Sus scrofa: one gene and its partners. The protein of the gene in region 2 purifies or fractionates together with the protein of the main gene of each other region. This does not show direct contact. Links are inferred from orthologs where the notes say so. Each region holds a gene or a part of one and is shown on either strand. Other genes may lie near its edges.

Region 1 (4,516 bases), on a different chromosome or scaffold from region 2:
CTGGCCTCGTTCAGTGGGTTAAAGATCTGGCTTGCCATGTGGTGTAGGTCGCAGACCCAGCTCGGATCCTACATGGCTGTGGGGAGGCTGGCAGCTGCAGCTCCGATGTGACCCCTAGCCTGGGAACTTCCATATGGCGCACCTGTGGCCCTAAAAAAGATTTTTTTTTGTTAAATAATTCCAGGTTCGATGAGTAAGACAATTAGGAAACCAATCCAAAATGATGACAGCTGTTAAAGATACTGTTAGTGACCGCCAGAAAACAGGAAGGCGTTTATTTTTTTCCACAAGACAAGTAGGATTAGGATCTTCATAAAGCAGCAACGATTTTTATCATTTTCTCACCTGCATCGATGGCACAAAAAATGAGGGAAAATCTATCCTTAGCTTCCTCTAAACTTTCCGGATTTTTGTTTCTTTCCCCAAAAACACACGAAGGAAAGCACTTTCAAAACAGGCTCATCTCCTTGGCGTTGAAGACCTACTGAGACACAAAGCCTCCGGCTCCCCTCAGTTTCTGGAGTTGCTTGGAATACATGAGAGCCGACTGGGTATTTAACGGTTCTTCCTCCCCCACCAACTTCGAATTTCTCAGACTACAGCCACTTCCCCACTTCTCAAACCATCCCTTGTACGCTGAAAACTTCTCTGGGTTGCCCCCGCAGCTGGCCTTCGGCGTCAGAGACCGGCCCCCTTTGGTCTAATCCTACACCCAAAAGATTAACGCAAGTCTCCATCTTCTCAATGTTTACGACACGGGGAATGCACAGCACCTGGAGTAGATGGCGAAATATGCTGGCCCTGATGGCCTTCTCGTTTTGCTTCAGGATCCGTGTGGTTGCCTGACTGACGCCCAAAGGGCGCCCCACGCCGCCTTTACTCACGCCTTCCTCCAGGTTATCGAGAATTTTCATTTCGTCTTCCAGAGCCATGACCCTCCGCCTCCTCTTAAAACGTCTTTGGCCCGGGAGCAGTACGCCCATCCCTCCGCTCGGCCTAAGACGCTGCTCAAGCTGCAGCGGCCTCCACTTTAACCACTGCTGAGAGCCTGGCTTTAGAGCCGGGGGACGCCCGCAGGGCCGTTTAACCTTCGGTTGGTCCTCATTCTCCCTACTCCGCTTGCGGGGCACTTCCTCTGCCTTCCCTCTCGGTGGGAAAGAAGCAAACAGACCGCAGCATCGGACTGTGGAACTAACAGAGCCGTAGCCAAGATGACACCCCGCGCGACCCCGTAACATCAGCGACCCCAATGGGTCCTGGTCTCGCGAGGCTTAGCAGCCCCTGAGCGCGCGCGGCCGCCAACTCTGAAATGCTATTGGCTCGCCCTGGCTGGTCCCAGTCCTGCCAAAACTCAGGGAACAGAGGCTGCGCCAGGCGGATCTCGCGAGGTTCGGGAAAATGCGCCGGGAAGAGGGCCGGCACATAGGCGGGAGGGGGCAAGATGGCGGCCCAGGTGCTGGCGCTCCTGAGGGAGGTGTCGCGGCTGGAGGCGCCGCTGGAGGAGCTGCGCGCTCTGCAATCGGTGCTGCAGTCGGTGCCACTCAGCGAGCTCCGTGAGCATGCTGCGGAACTGCACCTCGGTCCGCTTTTCTCCCTGCTCAACGAGAACCATCGGTGAGAGGATCCTTCTACTTGAGAAGGGGAGAGTGACACCCCCAGTTATGGAGACAGGGATGGCGTGGTAGCGGGGGAGGCTTTTCCCAGTCTCAGAGAAGGTTGAATTTAGCTGAAATTTCAGAGAGGGGAGGATTCTGGGCTGAAAAGCGAAAGACAGTGTTCAAGTCCAGGCTCTGAGGTGTGCCCCTGGCAGTCGCTTGCCAGGGAGGACTCCACAATCCTATATCGAAGTCCTTGACTTTTCTCCTCCTCTTAAGAAGGGGTACTATCCTGGCAATTTGACCGGATCCATCAATATTTTAAACTCATACCTTTTGATCCAGTAATTCCTGTTATAGAAATTTAACGTAGAGGTATGCTCGCACACAAAATGTACTTTCATGATAGAAGGTGACAGCAAAACAAAAAAAAAAACCTAGGAACAACCTGAATATCCAATAAAAGGGGATTCTTAAATTGATGATACGTGACTATGTAATGCTATGAAGCTATTAGAAAAACTGAGGCAGATCCAGTATGTGGACATGGAAAGATCTCTAATATATGTTGCTGAATAAAAAGAAGAAAATTGAAGCCTTTATGATCTCATTATGTGTAATTTTAGAAAAGGATTACAGGAGTTTCCTGGTGGCTCAGCAGGTTAGGGATTCCACATTGTCACTGCATTGGCTCTAGTTACTCCTGTGGCACAGGTTTGATTCCTGGTCTGGTAACTTCTGAATGCCGGAAGGTGCAGCCAAAAAGGGGGGGTGGGGGCGGTTACAACCCTCCTACACCCTTGTGAACACAGGCCAGTGTAACATTAAGAGTATCTGAAACTATTAACATACAAGTGCAACTTTGAATGGTAGGTTGGCAACTATTTTCATTTTATGTACATCTGTAGTGTTTGATTTTAAACACTTTGTATTTGATCATCTGATAACTTAAAAGACTTTTGAAATGTTTGTGATCCAGAAATTGTAAAAGAGCTTTTCTTCTGGAAGAGAATGAAGCACTGGATCAACACTGGGTGATTTCAGAGGGTTTTCTTGGCTCTGACCTTCTAAAAGTCCTCCCTTTTCATATGTGTTCTCCCTCTGTTAATTTCTCTTAGTTAACATTCAAGTCTGCCTGTGCAATGTCTCTGTCCATTTTAATTCAGGCCCTCATTTTCTCCCTTTTGTTAGGTCTGTTGCATTAGTCTGACTTCTCATTCATTACCTCTGAGCTTCCTTTTCTAGTGTGTCCTTCCCACATTGCAACCACAGTGAACTGCCCAGGTCGTTTGGCTCACATCTTTTCCATGGTTTCCCATTGACTCCAGTGTAAAATCATGACTTGTTAGTCTGGCATTTGGACCTTACAATATGTTTCCACCCTACTTTTCCAGCCTCATCCTTTTTCTCCACTCTACACATTTCATCTGCTCCAGCTACCGCGTGGCAATACTTACTTTCCCTTGAGCATGACTTGGCACTTTCCTAACTTTGTTCACACCAGTCCTTCTAACTGAAATGCCTCACCCTCTCTCCAAATCTGTCCATCCTTTAAGGCCCAGGTGAATTACCACCTCATCCAAAAAGGCTTTCTCAGTCACTACAGTTGGCAAGGGACTGGCCACGGATCTCCAGATCTGTTAACTTCTATTAATGATATTTGACAGTATCGCTTTATGTTATAATTCCATATGTGTTTGTTTCTAATCTGTAAATTCTTTGAAGGCAAAGAATATTTTGTTCATCTCTGCATGCTTCCTAAGGTGTAGCACATAATACAATATATGGCAAATGAGACATTAAACTCATGAATTTTAGAGAGCCCACCTAGTCCAATCACTTTATATTAAAGATGAAGAGAGTTTCAGTGACCACAACATAAGTTAATACCAGAGTTGCAATAGGAACAGAAATTTAGGGGAGTTTGAAGACAAAGTTTCATGGGATAGGTGGTTTATTGAATGGAGGAGCAGTGCTCTAGGAAACAATTTTAATGGAAATTTAAAGATAAAGTTATTCAGAACTCAGCACGTCATAGCTACTAATTACGATTTGTGGGAACATTCATTCTCTGGATAGTGGATTGGCAATATACATTTTCCTGATTAAATCACACAGGTTTATATGTTGGTTTGGGGTTTGGTTTTGTTTTTTGGGTTTTTTTTGTTTGTTTGGTATATGGAGTTCCTGGGCTAGGCCAGGCCAGGGATCAGATCCAAGCTTTAGTTGCAACATAAGCCACAGCTGTGGCAACACGGATCCTTAACCCACTGTGCTGGGCCAAGGATCAAACGTGCATCCCAGTACTCCCAAGATGCCACCAGTCCCGTTGTGCCACAGCGGGAACTCTGGATCTTTGCTGATAGTTATAAATCTAGACTTGACTGGAATTTTTGTGAGGGAAAGTAAGTCCTAAGATTACTTCCTTAAACATAAAAGGCTAACAAGACTGTATGTTATTAATTCTTTGGTTTCTTGATTTCAGAGGGCCACATGTGACCCTGTATCTGTGCATTGTACAGTTTAACCTACTATTGCTTTAAAGAGAAAAAAATTATTGGGAGTTCCTGTTGTGGTGCAGCAGAAATGAATCCGACTAGTATCCATGAGGATGCAGGTTCGATCCCTAGCCTTGCCCAGTGGGTTGGGGATCTGTTGTTGCCCTGAGCTGTGGTGTAGGTGGCAGATGGGACTCAGATCCCTTATTGCCGTGGCTGTGGTGTAGGCCAGCAGCTGTAGCTCCAATTAGACCCCTAACCTGGGACCTTCCATATGCTTTGGCCCTAAAAAGCAAAAAAACCCAAACAAACAAAAAAACACTTTATTGATACATAATTTACCAAAATAAACTGCACGTAGTAAAATACAGTTTGACAAGTTTTGGCATGTATATACCACAAAACCATCACCATAATCAAAGA
Region 2 (4,666 bases):
CGAGGCAGGCGAGGACCACCCCGTGAGGCTGCTGCTGAACCCCCGTGACGCACCCGCAGCAGGACACTAACTGGTGACGGCCCCGTGACGGGAGCCGACCCAGGGCAGGCGGCGCCTACCTGCTTCAGGCTGGCGATGTAGCGGGTGATGTACTCCACAGTGACCGGGTCCTCCACGGTCAGCCGGTGGCTCTGGCACTCCACCCGCGCCCTGTTGATGACTATCCGTGCGTCCGCGGTGAGGCCTGCGGTGACCGGAGAGCTAGCCTGAGCCCCACCTTCCAGTCAGTGGTCCAAACCAGCACGGCATGGACGGCACAACCTCTGGCGGCTTCTAAGACCGGCTCCCGGTTCCCAGCGCGGCGCCTGAGTGACTGGCGGCGGAAGCAGCAGCCCCCACGCGCTTCTCTGAGAAAGCTGGGCGGGCGACCAGCACGCGTCCCGGGACAAAGCAAGTCAACCTCTGGATTGGGTAAACCGGGCGCTCCCTGCCGAGGAGGGAGATGAGCGAGGAGGGAGATGAGCGGAACCACAGGAGCTGACCGCACCTGACAGCAGAGCGCCGGACGGCCCCACCTTTCCCACGGCGACATGCCGCTGAAAGCACGGGGCCACCGCACAGCCCCTCACCCCGGGCGTCTGCTGAGAGCCTGTGCGTCAGCCACCGGAGAGGGACCCTCCTGCCCAAGAAGCAGGCCGCACCTGTTTCTTGGAAACGGTCTGTTCCCCGGCGTGGGCGTCCCCGGCAGCGCTTCCCCGGGTGACCCTCGTAGGAGGCAGGAGGAGAGCCCCGGCCCCAGGCTCACCCGCGAACGCCATGCAGACGTTGTCGTCCAGGGCGCAGATCTTCCGCACGGTCCGCTCGTCCTGCAGCCTGGCCACCGACTTCTTCTCCACGCCGAGGACGACGATGTCCCTTCCGCGGACGCCAACCTTCAACGGGCATCACCGTGGCACTTAAACGTGTGACGCGATCCCAGCCCAGAGCACGAAGAGCGGCTGTTGCCGCGGCCCCATGACCACTGGGGCAGGGGGCACGCACAGCCTGCAAACCGTGGGGCTGGACCCGCTTATGCACAACTACCTCAGGCGTCGCCAGCCAGGTGCCCACTCTTGGCCTTAGGCTTCAGTTTCAGTTCAACTGAAAACCACCACCGTGTGTGACCCACGTGTATGTGCCCCTTCAACCCCATGATTCGGAATTCGGCGTAAAGCCTTTAGGCCTGAGTCCTTAACACAGAAATAGCTGTCCTGAAAGCAGTGTTGCGTGGCTGTGAAGTCACACCCAAACCCTCCCCGCTCCCGCACTTCGGTAACCTGTGTGCACGGCAGTGGGCAAGTGCCTGATGTGACCAGGTGGACGTGTCAGCTACCCCCGGGAGGCCACTGGCTGTTTCTGGCTGTCGCTTCGCAGGTAGAAGGATGTCTTACGCACATGGGGAAAAAAATCACGATTGCCTGTCGACAGCCCTCAATGGGAACAGCAGCCGCTGCGCATGAAACGGTCACTGGGCAGAGCGACATCCGCCCGAGCCCAGAGCAGGGCTTCTGAGCCTCAGGACTGTGGGCACCGGGCCCGCCAATTCTTGGATGTGAGGGCGGCCCGGCTCACTGAAGGATGCTTACCGTCCGCCCGGCCTCTGCCCGGCCTCTGCCTCTAGAAGTCTCCTGGCCGTTGCCAAACGCCCCCTGGGCTGCAGAGAAGCCCTGGTCGGCTGTGTTTCCAAGTTTCAAGCAACTTTCCTACAAACTGACCTGGTCTTTAAAGCTCCCAAAGACAAGAAGGCCCTGCTCAGAGGCGCTGGTTAAAGAAAGGTAGCCTGCCGGCGGGCCCCACATGCAATGGGGGCGGGGGGAGACAGGTGCCAGGCGACTCCCCCACTAGTCTCTAAGCTGAAATAGGTCGCAAGGTGGATTTGGAGCCCCCATTGCAGAAGAGGTTCAAGAGATGAAAATACTTCCAAGATTCACAGAATCGTGTGTTTTCTCTCTGGCCAAACCTCTGACACACCAAATAATAAAATAAAAACCATCGTACAGTTTAGCCAATAAGCAAACTGCCAAGCGTACTGAAGGCACCATTGCATTTACGTTTCAAACCGCGGCCTAAACGACAGCCGCGCTCAGGTGCGAGGGGACGAGGGGGGCGGTCACACCCGGAGGGGCCTGCCAGCTGCGCCGGGCTGCCCGGGGACGGCAGGGCTGCTGCTGAGCCCGGCGGCCGCCCTTTGTCCTCGAAGCCGGCCCACTGCTTTCCCGGTCGGGGAAGCCCCCTCACTGGGAGCGGTCCGCATGCCGTTCGCGCAAATCATTTGGTGCCTTAAGGCGCGTTCCGGGTAAGGGGCTGGCCCGCCGCTCGGAGCCCCCCCCCCCCGCCCAGCCGCGGCCCCCGAACCCCCAAAATGGCGCCGCCGGCAGGCGCGCTCGGCTCCGGACACCGGAGGAGCCCCAAGGCCTGCGGTCTGCAGGCCACGGTCCGCAGCGCCCCTTCCCGAAGCAAGCCCCACGTGACGGCTGCCGTGCGCCCCCCCGCCCCTGTGCTACCCGAGCCCGAAGCACTCGGCGCCGGTCAGCGCGGCCTCCCCAGCCGCCCGGGCCCTGCCCATCCCCGGACGTGCAGGCCCCGCGGGGCCGCCGCTCACCGCAGTCGAGCCCTTCTTCACGGCCTCCTGCGCGTACTCCACTTGGAAGAGGTGGCCGTCGGGCGAAAAGACGGTGATGGCGCGGTCGTAGCTCATGCCGGCGGGGCGACGCGGCCGGACCCGGGAAAAGCGCACACTCACGGCCCGCGCAGCCCGCGATTCACGACGTCGCTGCGCCCGCGCCCGCGCCGCGCGCCCGTCCGCCCCCGGCGCCGCCGACTGCGCTGCTGGCGTAAGGCGGGCGTAAGGCGGCGTCGGGCGACGTGCGCGCGCCGGGGCGGGGCCGGGCCGAACCACCGACGGCCGGGCGCGGGGGGCGGTGCGGCGGCGGCGGCGGTGGCGGCGGCGGCGGGCCCGGCGCGGAGCGCGAGGCGGCCGCCCGGGGGCGCCGCGCGGAGCTCGGTCTCAGGCTGCGGCGGCGCGCGGAGCGGCGAGGCGGCGGGTCCGGAGGCAACGCGGCGACGGAGGGGCGGGCGAGTCCACGGCGCAGCACCCCCCGCGCCCCCCGCCCCCCAGCGACTGCGGAGAATGAGCGCCTCTGGCCGCCGAGCGCAGCCGGAGAATAAACCCCGATGATCTCGGGCTGATCCTGCGCCCGCGACCATGTCGGTGGCCTTCGCGTCCGCCCGGCCGAGAGGCAAAGGGGAGGTCACGCAGCAAACCATCCAGAAGGTGGGCTGGGGGCCGCGGTCCCGGGCTGGGGGCCACGGGGTGCGGGCGGGCGCTGGGCCGGGTCGAGGGCAGCCGGCGGGCGCGGGGCGCGAACAAAGCCGGGGCGCAGCCGACCGCCGCGACCCCGCTGGGGCCCCGCGCGCGCTCTGTGGCCAGCGTGCGCCAATGTGGGCGGGGGTGCGCGGGGGCGGTGGGTTGGGGCTCAAGGCGGCGCGTGGGGTGGTGTCCTCGGAGCCCAGCCCGGAACGACCCCGGGCCTCACCGGCCACAGTGGGGACGCGCCGTCTTCTGGGCCCGGGGCCGCGGGGCAGGAGCGCAGGGCGGCAGGACCGGGTGCCCGCAGGGTGGTGTCCAAGGGATGTTGTCTGCAGGGTGATGTCCGCAGAGCCAAGCCAGGGACGACCCCGGGCCCCGCCGGGGACAGTGGAGACCCGTCGCCTTCGGGGCCGGGGTGCGGGTGCACGGCGTCCGGACCGGGCGTCCGCAGGGTGGTGTCTGCGAGCCGCCCGGTGCGCCGAGGGGACCCTCCTGACTGGGAAAGTGGTGACGCTGCGCCGTGGGCGGCCCCCCGCCCCCGCGCGCAGTTTGGCTGGTGGAGGGCGCACGGGGCACATGGGGCGACGGGGATCCGTCCCAGCCGCCGGCCCCGCCTGCCATTTAGGTGCTGGCATTACGAGGCACAAAGAGGTGCATCCAGAGTGAGGGCGCCGGTCTTGCAGCCCCGCAGCCCTTTAAGGAGCGCTCCACGCCTCGGGGCCGGCTGGCCGGCCGCTCTTATTGGAGTGTCACGCTGCTTTTCAGCCTTGACACTTCGCCAGCCTCTTCACCTAACAAAACTTTACAGACTGGTTTTACAGCCTTGCCTGCGTGCTATAAGTTTGGCCTCGTGGTTTCCTAGACATAACCTTCACGTGGGTTTGGGGACATTTTAATACAAGTCTTAGGTTTTGAAATGGAAATTTAAAATTTTTACTGCTTCTGTTTAGAAGATAAAGCTCAGGAGAAAGTGGCTCTCGACTCTTCCCCTTTGAGTTCCTCGATGTCGGGTAGCCAGGTTGCTCTCCTTTCTAAGCTGGGTTCTCCGAAGAATCCCTGGGTTTCCGGGAACCTTTTATGTCCCTCTGGGATTCACCTTCTCCCGTGATGATGTTTCAGGGCTTCTTTTTGCTGTGACTGGTTTTGACGAATGAGGAGCCTCTGTAAACTCTAAATAAAAAGCAGTAGAAACACGAGGGAAAACGTGGGGCGTTTTCACTTGTTTAGTCCACACTTGAGTGGTGCTCGCTCAGTAGGGGCCCGATTCTCTGGGCCGGGCCCATCTTGATGCGCGTCACCGCTTGCAGTGGTCACTCT
Region 3 (4,456 bases), on a different chromosome or scaffold from region 2:
AGTAGTTTCCCACCCCCTGACCCCACGCCGTTCCTCGGCTGTAAATTCCCACCGGCTCCTGTGGTTTTGAACACGCGCGACCGATCAGTGAAGAAAGGATGTTGCAGCCATCAAGCTGTCACATTACAGCCACCACGACGGTGCACCCAGAGGACGAAGGCCGTGAACGCTGAAATCACTTGGGGTTGATGGGAATGAGCCCAGACTTTGCATCACCCGCCCCCCCCCCCCCCACTCACGGAGAAGCACTAAATTCCTTTTTTCTTTTTTTTTTTTTTTTTCTCTTTTTGCCATTTCTTGGGCCACTCCCGCGGCATATGGAGGTTCCCAGGCTAGGGGTCTAATCGGAGCTGTAGCCACCGGCCTACGCCAGAGCCACAGCCCCACGGGATCCAAGCCACATCTGCAACCTACACCACAGCTCAGGGCAACGCCGGATCCTTAACCCACGGAGCGAGGCCAGGGACCGAACCCGCAACCTCACGGTTCCCAGTCGGGCTCGTTAACCACTGCGCCAGGACGGGAACTCCAAGCACTAAACGCCTGGAGAGGTCTGGTTCCTTAACGGACAGCGACCTCCCCACGCGCCAGCTACCTGGTCTTTGCGCGGAACCGCCCGGAGGTGCCGGCTCCTGCCTCACCTCTACGGAGCGGGCTCCCAGTTAGATGCTGGGCCCCAGGCTCGGGTCCTCAGCTTGGTGTGCCACACGAAACGTAAGGCTCAGCTTTCGGGGTGCGCCTTTCTTTTCCGCCCACCCGTGTGCGGGGTGAGCCCGGCTCCACACCGGGGTCTCCTGCGCGCTCTGTGAAGCGCCCTGGGCGGAACCCGCTTTCAGCGCCTTAACTGCGGTCCAGCCCTGGTTTTCTCTCGGCTCCCTGTGCTTGCAGCAGCGCCCTGGAACCCACGGCCAAGGGGCCAGGGACCCCACTGCGGCTCCCCGGTGACAGAGGAGCAGGGCCGCCGTCAGGAGCGCCCGAGGTCGCCCCTGGGGAGAAGCCGGAGGCCGCTCTACTGCGGGGCCGAGGGGCCGAGGGGCCGAAGGGCGAGACCGCCCTTGGGAAGAAGCTGGAGGCTGCGCTCCCGAGCTTGGGGCCGCAGCCCCTCGCGCGACTCGGTGCCCAGCCCGTCGCTGCTGGCGGGCGGGCAGCCCAGCGCCTCAGAGCCCAGCGGCCCCGGCGCGACCGGAAGCCCTGCGGGCTGCACTTCCGGCGGGGGCCGCAGAGCCCGCGGGCGCGTCTGGCGCTCGGGAGCGGGGCGGGGCCTTAGGGGGCGGGGCCGCGCCGCCACCGGCGTCATTTCCGGGCGCGGCCTGGTGAGCGCGGGCGGCATGGCGGGCGGCAGGGAGGGTAGGGGGCCGCGGAGGCTGGAGCGGGAAGGCGAGGGCGGGCGCCCCCACGGTTGGCGCCCCAGCCACGGTCGCCATCTGCCTCCTGGCTCGGTGACGTGCTGCTTCTCCTGTGGGGCCGGTGGTTTTCCCAAGTGCAGAAAACGGAACCTCAATGGGCGCACTGGAGGGACGGCAGGAGCGTGGCCACCTGCTCTGGCCTGGCTTTTGCACCTGCACCTGCGGCGCTTTCAGCCCTTCACCCCCCCGGCAGTGGCACCACCGAGGGCCCCAGGACTCAGAGCCTCGGGATGGGGTGGGGTCACAGTGATGCTTAACAGCAGGGGCCCCAAGCGCGTGGAAGAGGAAAGAAAAGCATATTTTGACATCCTGCCTCCTTTGCCTGGCTAGTTTATGTATACAAGTGTGTCTACTCAATGAATCTAGAAAGTTTTGGGCAAATGAGGCCTGTAAGGGTTAACAGATACAGGCTTTTGAATGAGCCCACTTGTATTTCTGTTTTAATGCCAAATGGTACTTACTCTGGAGCCCCAAGGCCATCTGATGCTGATTTACTCTCTTTATTCTTAACAAGCTGAAGGGGCCATTGAACAGACCCAACCATGGAAGGCAAACCATTGGTGATGTCGAAACAGACGACTGCGGTAGTGTGTGGCGTCCCTACCCAGGTGGTATGCACAGCCTTCAGCAGTCACATCCTGGTGGTGGTGACCCAGTTCGGGAAAATGGGTACCCTGGTCTCCCTGGAATCCAGCAGCATGACCAGTGACATCAGCAAGCCTGTGCTCACCACCAAAGTTCTTCTCGGGCAGGACGAGGTAAAGGGATGGGGGCGGGAGCCCGGTGGCTACAATTTGTTAATACACACGGGGAGCATCTCTGGGCAGACGCCCCCACGCCCACCGCCACCAGCCCTCGACAGCATTTTCCGGGGCCTCTCTGCGTCTGAGGGCATCCACCTGCCCTTGGTGGCTGCTGCTTCCAGCCCATCAGCATTTTATCCTGCAGACAGGCGGAGGTATTGATTTTGCGATGTAGGCCTCCCCTCAGTTTGACCCTGTCATGATACATTATGGTAATGACTGGTTGTGCATGCTTCGTTCTGGAAAGACCATCTGTGAGCCTTGACAGGTTGCCTCTGCAGACTTTCAGGGGTCCTTCCAGAGCAGAAATCGCCGGAAGAGACAGGAACCAGAAGCACGAAAGGGACAAGTTTAATGATGCTCCTTAGCAGTGCGTTTATGACTGGAGTGCCCTGAGTCTCTTTGAACCTGAGTTACTGTCACACTGAACTTACCAGGTGGTGACTGAATGGTTGGAAGCCAGGCCGGGTTTCTCGGGGGGACTAGGAAGGCATTAAGAAGAAAAGAGGTTGGACCTAGAAATTATCACGCCAAGTGAAGTCAGGCAGATGGTGAGATGCCAACCTCAAATGCTGTCACTTACATGTGGGATCTAAAAAAAAGGACACAATGGGGCGTTCCCGTTGTGACGCAGCGGAAACAAATCTGACTAGGAACCATGAGGTTGCGGGTTCGATCCCTGGCCTCGCTCAGTGGGTTGAGGATCCGGCGTTGCCGTGAGCTGTGGTGTAGGTCGCAGACGCGGCTCGGATCTGGCATTGCTGTGGCTGTGGTGCAGGCTGGTGGCTACAGCTCCAATTAGACCCCTAGCCTGGGAACCTCCATGTGCCACAGGTGCGGCCCTACAGAGACAAAAAAAAAAAAAAGGACACAGTGAACTTCTTTGCAGAACAGATACTGACTCACAGACTGAAAAGCTTATGGTTTCCAAATGAGACAGGTCGGGGGCGGGCAGGGGCTTGGGATGGAAATGCTCAAAATCGGGCTGTGAGGCTCATCGCACAACTGTAAATGTAATAAAACCCATTGAGGAATTTAAAATAAAACTAATTTAGAAGAAGACAAGCGATTTCTTGCAGTTAAAATGCCTTCTCTCTCTGCCCTCACCAGCCTCTCATCCATGTCTTTGCAAAGAACCTGGTGGCCTTTGTGTCTCAGGAAGCTGGAAACAGAGCAGTCCTCCTCGCCTTGGCCGTGAAGGACAAGAGCATGGAGGGAGTGACGGCCCTGAAGGAGGTGATCCGGACGTGCCAGGTGTGGTGACCCTGGGGCAGCCACTCCTGCTGCCCGTCAGGACCAAGCGGAAACTCAGACACCGTCTCGAGGCTCTGGAGACCCTTCAGCCAGAAGGAGGAGCGTTCTCAGGCTTTAGCCCTCGAAACCGGAAGAACCGTGCACATCTGAGGCCGACTGGTTTGGAGGCTGACACCCCCGGCGGAGGGAGGCGAGCCGAAGGTGTCCTAGGAGAGCTGTGAGCGGTTCTCTCCGGCTCCCGAGAGTGGCACGTAGTTGAGAGTTGACGGAATGAGTCATGGCCCCCGATGTGCAGGTCATTTGTTGGGGGAGATGTTTGTCTTATTAAAAATAAATGCACATTCCAGAGTACCTCACCGTCTTTCGCGACGGTGCTGAGACATTTCCGTCGCGCGGCGTAAATCCGCTGCGGTGGTCTCGGCCTGAAGCCCACAGCCTCATCCTGCTCCTCTGCCTGTGGCCTCTCTGAGCGTCCCGGTCCCCGGACTGCTGGTTGGTACCCTGGCCTCCGGAGCCACATCCTTGAAAGCTGGGGCCAGACACATATACCCCAGGAGGAGGGGGTCAGGCAGGGAGGAGGGCAGGGGGGGCAGGCTAGGCGGCGCCTCACTTCCAGAGAGGCCGGGACATGGGAGAAGCTGGGACCGGGACATGGGAAGCTGCCCGGCTGGGAGGCCCAAGGGCTGGGAGGGCCTGTGTGTGCTGAGGCCTCAGACGGGACGCTGAGCCCAGCGAGGGGGCTGAAGGGCTTCAGGGCTCGCGGGGTCTGCCCCTTGGAGATGTTCCTGGGGCTTGACCTCAGGGTGACGTGTCCACGTGGAAGGCAGCCTGTGGCCACCCACGCCTGTGACAAAGGGCAGCCGGGGACCCATCTGGGCTCCTTCATCCCTCCACATTCAGCGACCAGGGTCGTTTCTGTTTGACCCTTTGTCTCGTGAGAACGGGGGGTGGGGGGGACAGGAGAGTTGAGGTAGGAGCCAAGGTCGGTCTGGA

The links. The genes of interacting proteins can lie anywhere in the genome.
Region 1: the proteins of PSMA7 (region 2) and PSMD5 fractionate together in Homo sapiens (co-fractionation; 3 studies listed by BioGRID). This does not show direct contact. The link is inferred for Sus scrofa from reciprocal best matches to the Homo sapiens genes PSMA7 and PSMD5.
Region 3: the proteins of PSMA7 (region 2) and PSMG3 purify together in Homo sapiens (affinity purification with mass spectrometry; 3 studies listed by BioGRID and IntAct, with this or other methods). This does not show direct contact. The link is inferred for Sus scrofa from reciprocal best matches to the Homo sapiens genes PSMA7 and PSMG3.

The regions. Positions count from the first base shown.
Region 1 is NC_010443.5:260,865,594-260,870,109, reverse strand, and holds the start of PSMD5 (26S proteasome non-ATPase regulatory subunit 5), read left to right. Parts: upstream 1-1,342; 5' UTR 1,343-1,441; coding exon 1,442-1,614; intron 1,615-4,516. Other genes in the region: protein CutA homolog, read right to left, coding at 774-1,238. UniProt on the Homo sapiens protein: Acts as a chaperone during the assembly of the 26S proteasome, specifically of the base subcomplex of the PA700/19S regulatory complex (RC).
Region 2 is NC_010459.5:61,568,629-61,573,294, forward strand, and holds the start of PSMA7 (proteasome subunit alpha type-7), read right to left. Parts: upstream 2,889-4,666; 5' UTR 2,738-2,888; coding exon 2,642-2,737; intron 933-2,641; coding exon 806-932; intron 245-805; coding exon 120-244; intron 1-119. Other genes in the region: SS18L1 (calcium-responsive transactivator), read left to right, coding at 3,245-3,313.
Region 3 is NC_010445.4:1,051,543-1,055,998, reverse strand, and holds PSMG3 (proteasome assembly chaperone 3), read left to right. Parts: upstream 1-1,282; 5' UTR 1,283-1,313; exon of another isoform or gene 1,314-1,347; intron 1,348-1,920; 5' UTR 1,921-1,948; coding exon 1,949-2,164; intron 2,165-3,319; coding exon 3,320-3,472; 3' UTR 3,473-3,814; downstream 3,815-4,456. UniProt on the Homo sapiens protein: Chaperone protein which promotes assembly of the 20S proteasome. May cooperate with PSMG1-PSMG2 heterodimers to orchestrate the correct assembly of proteasomes.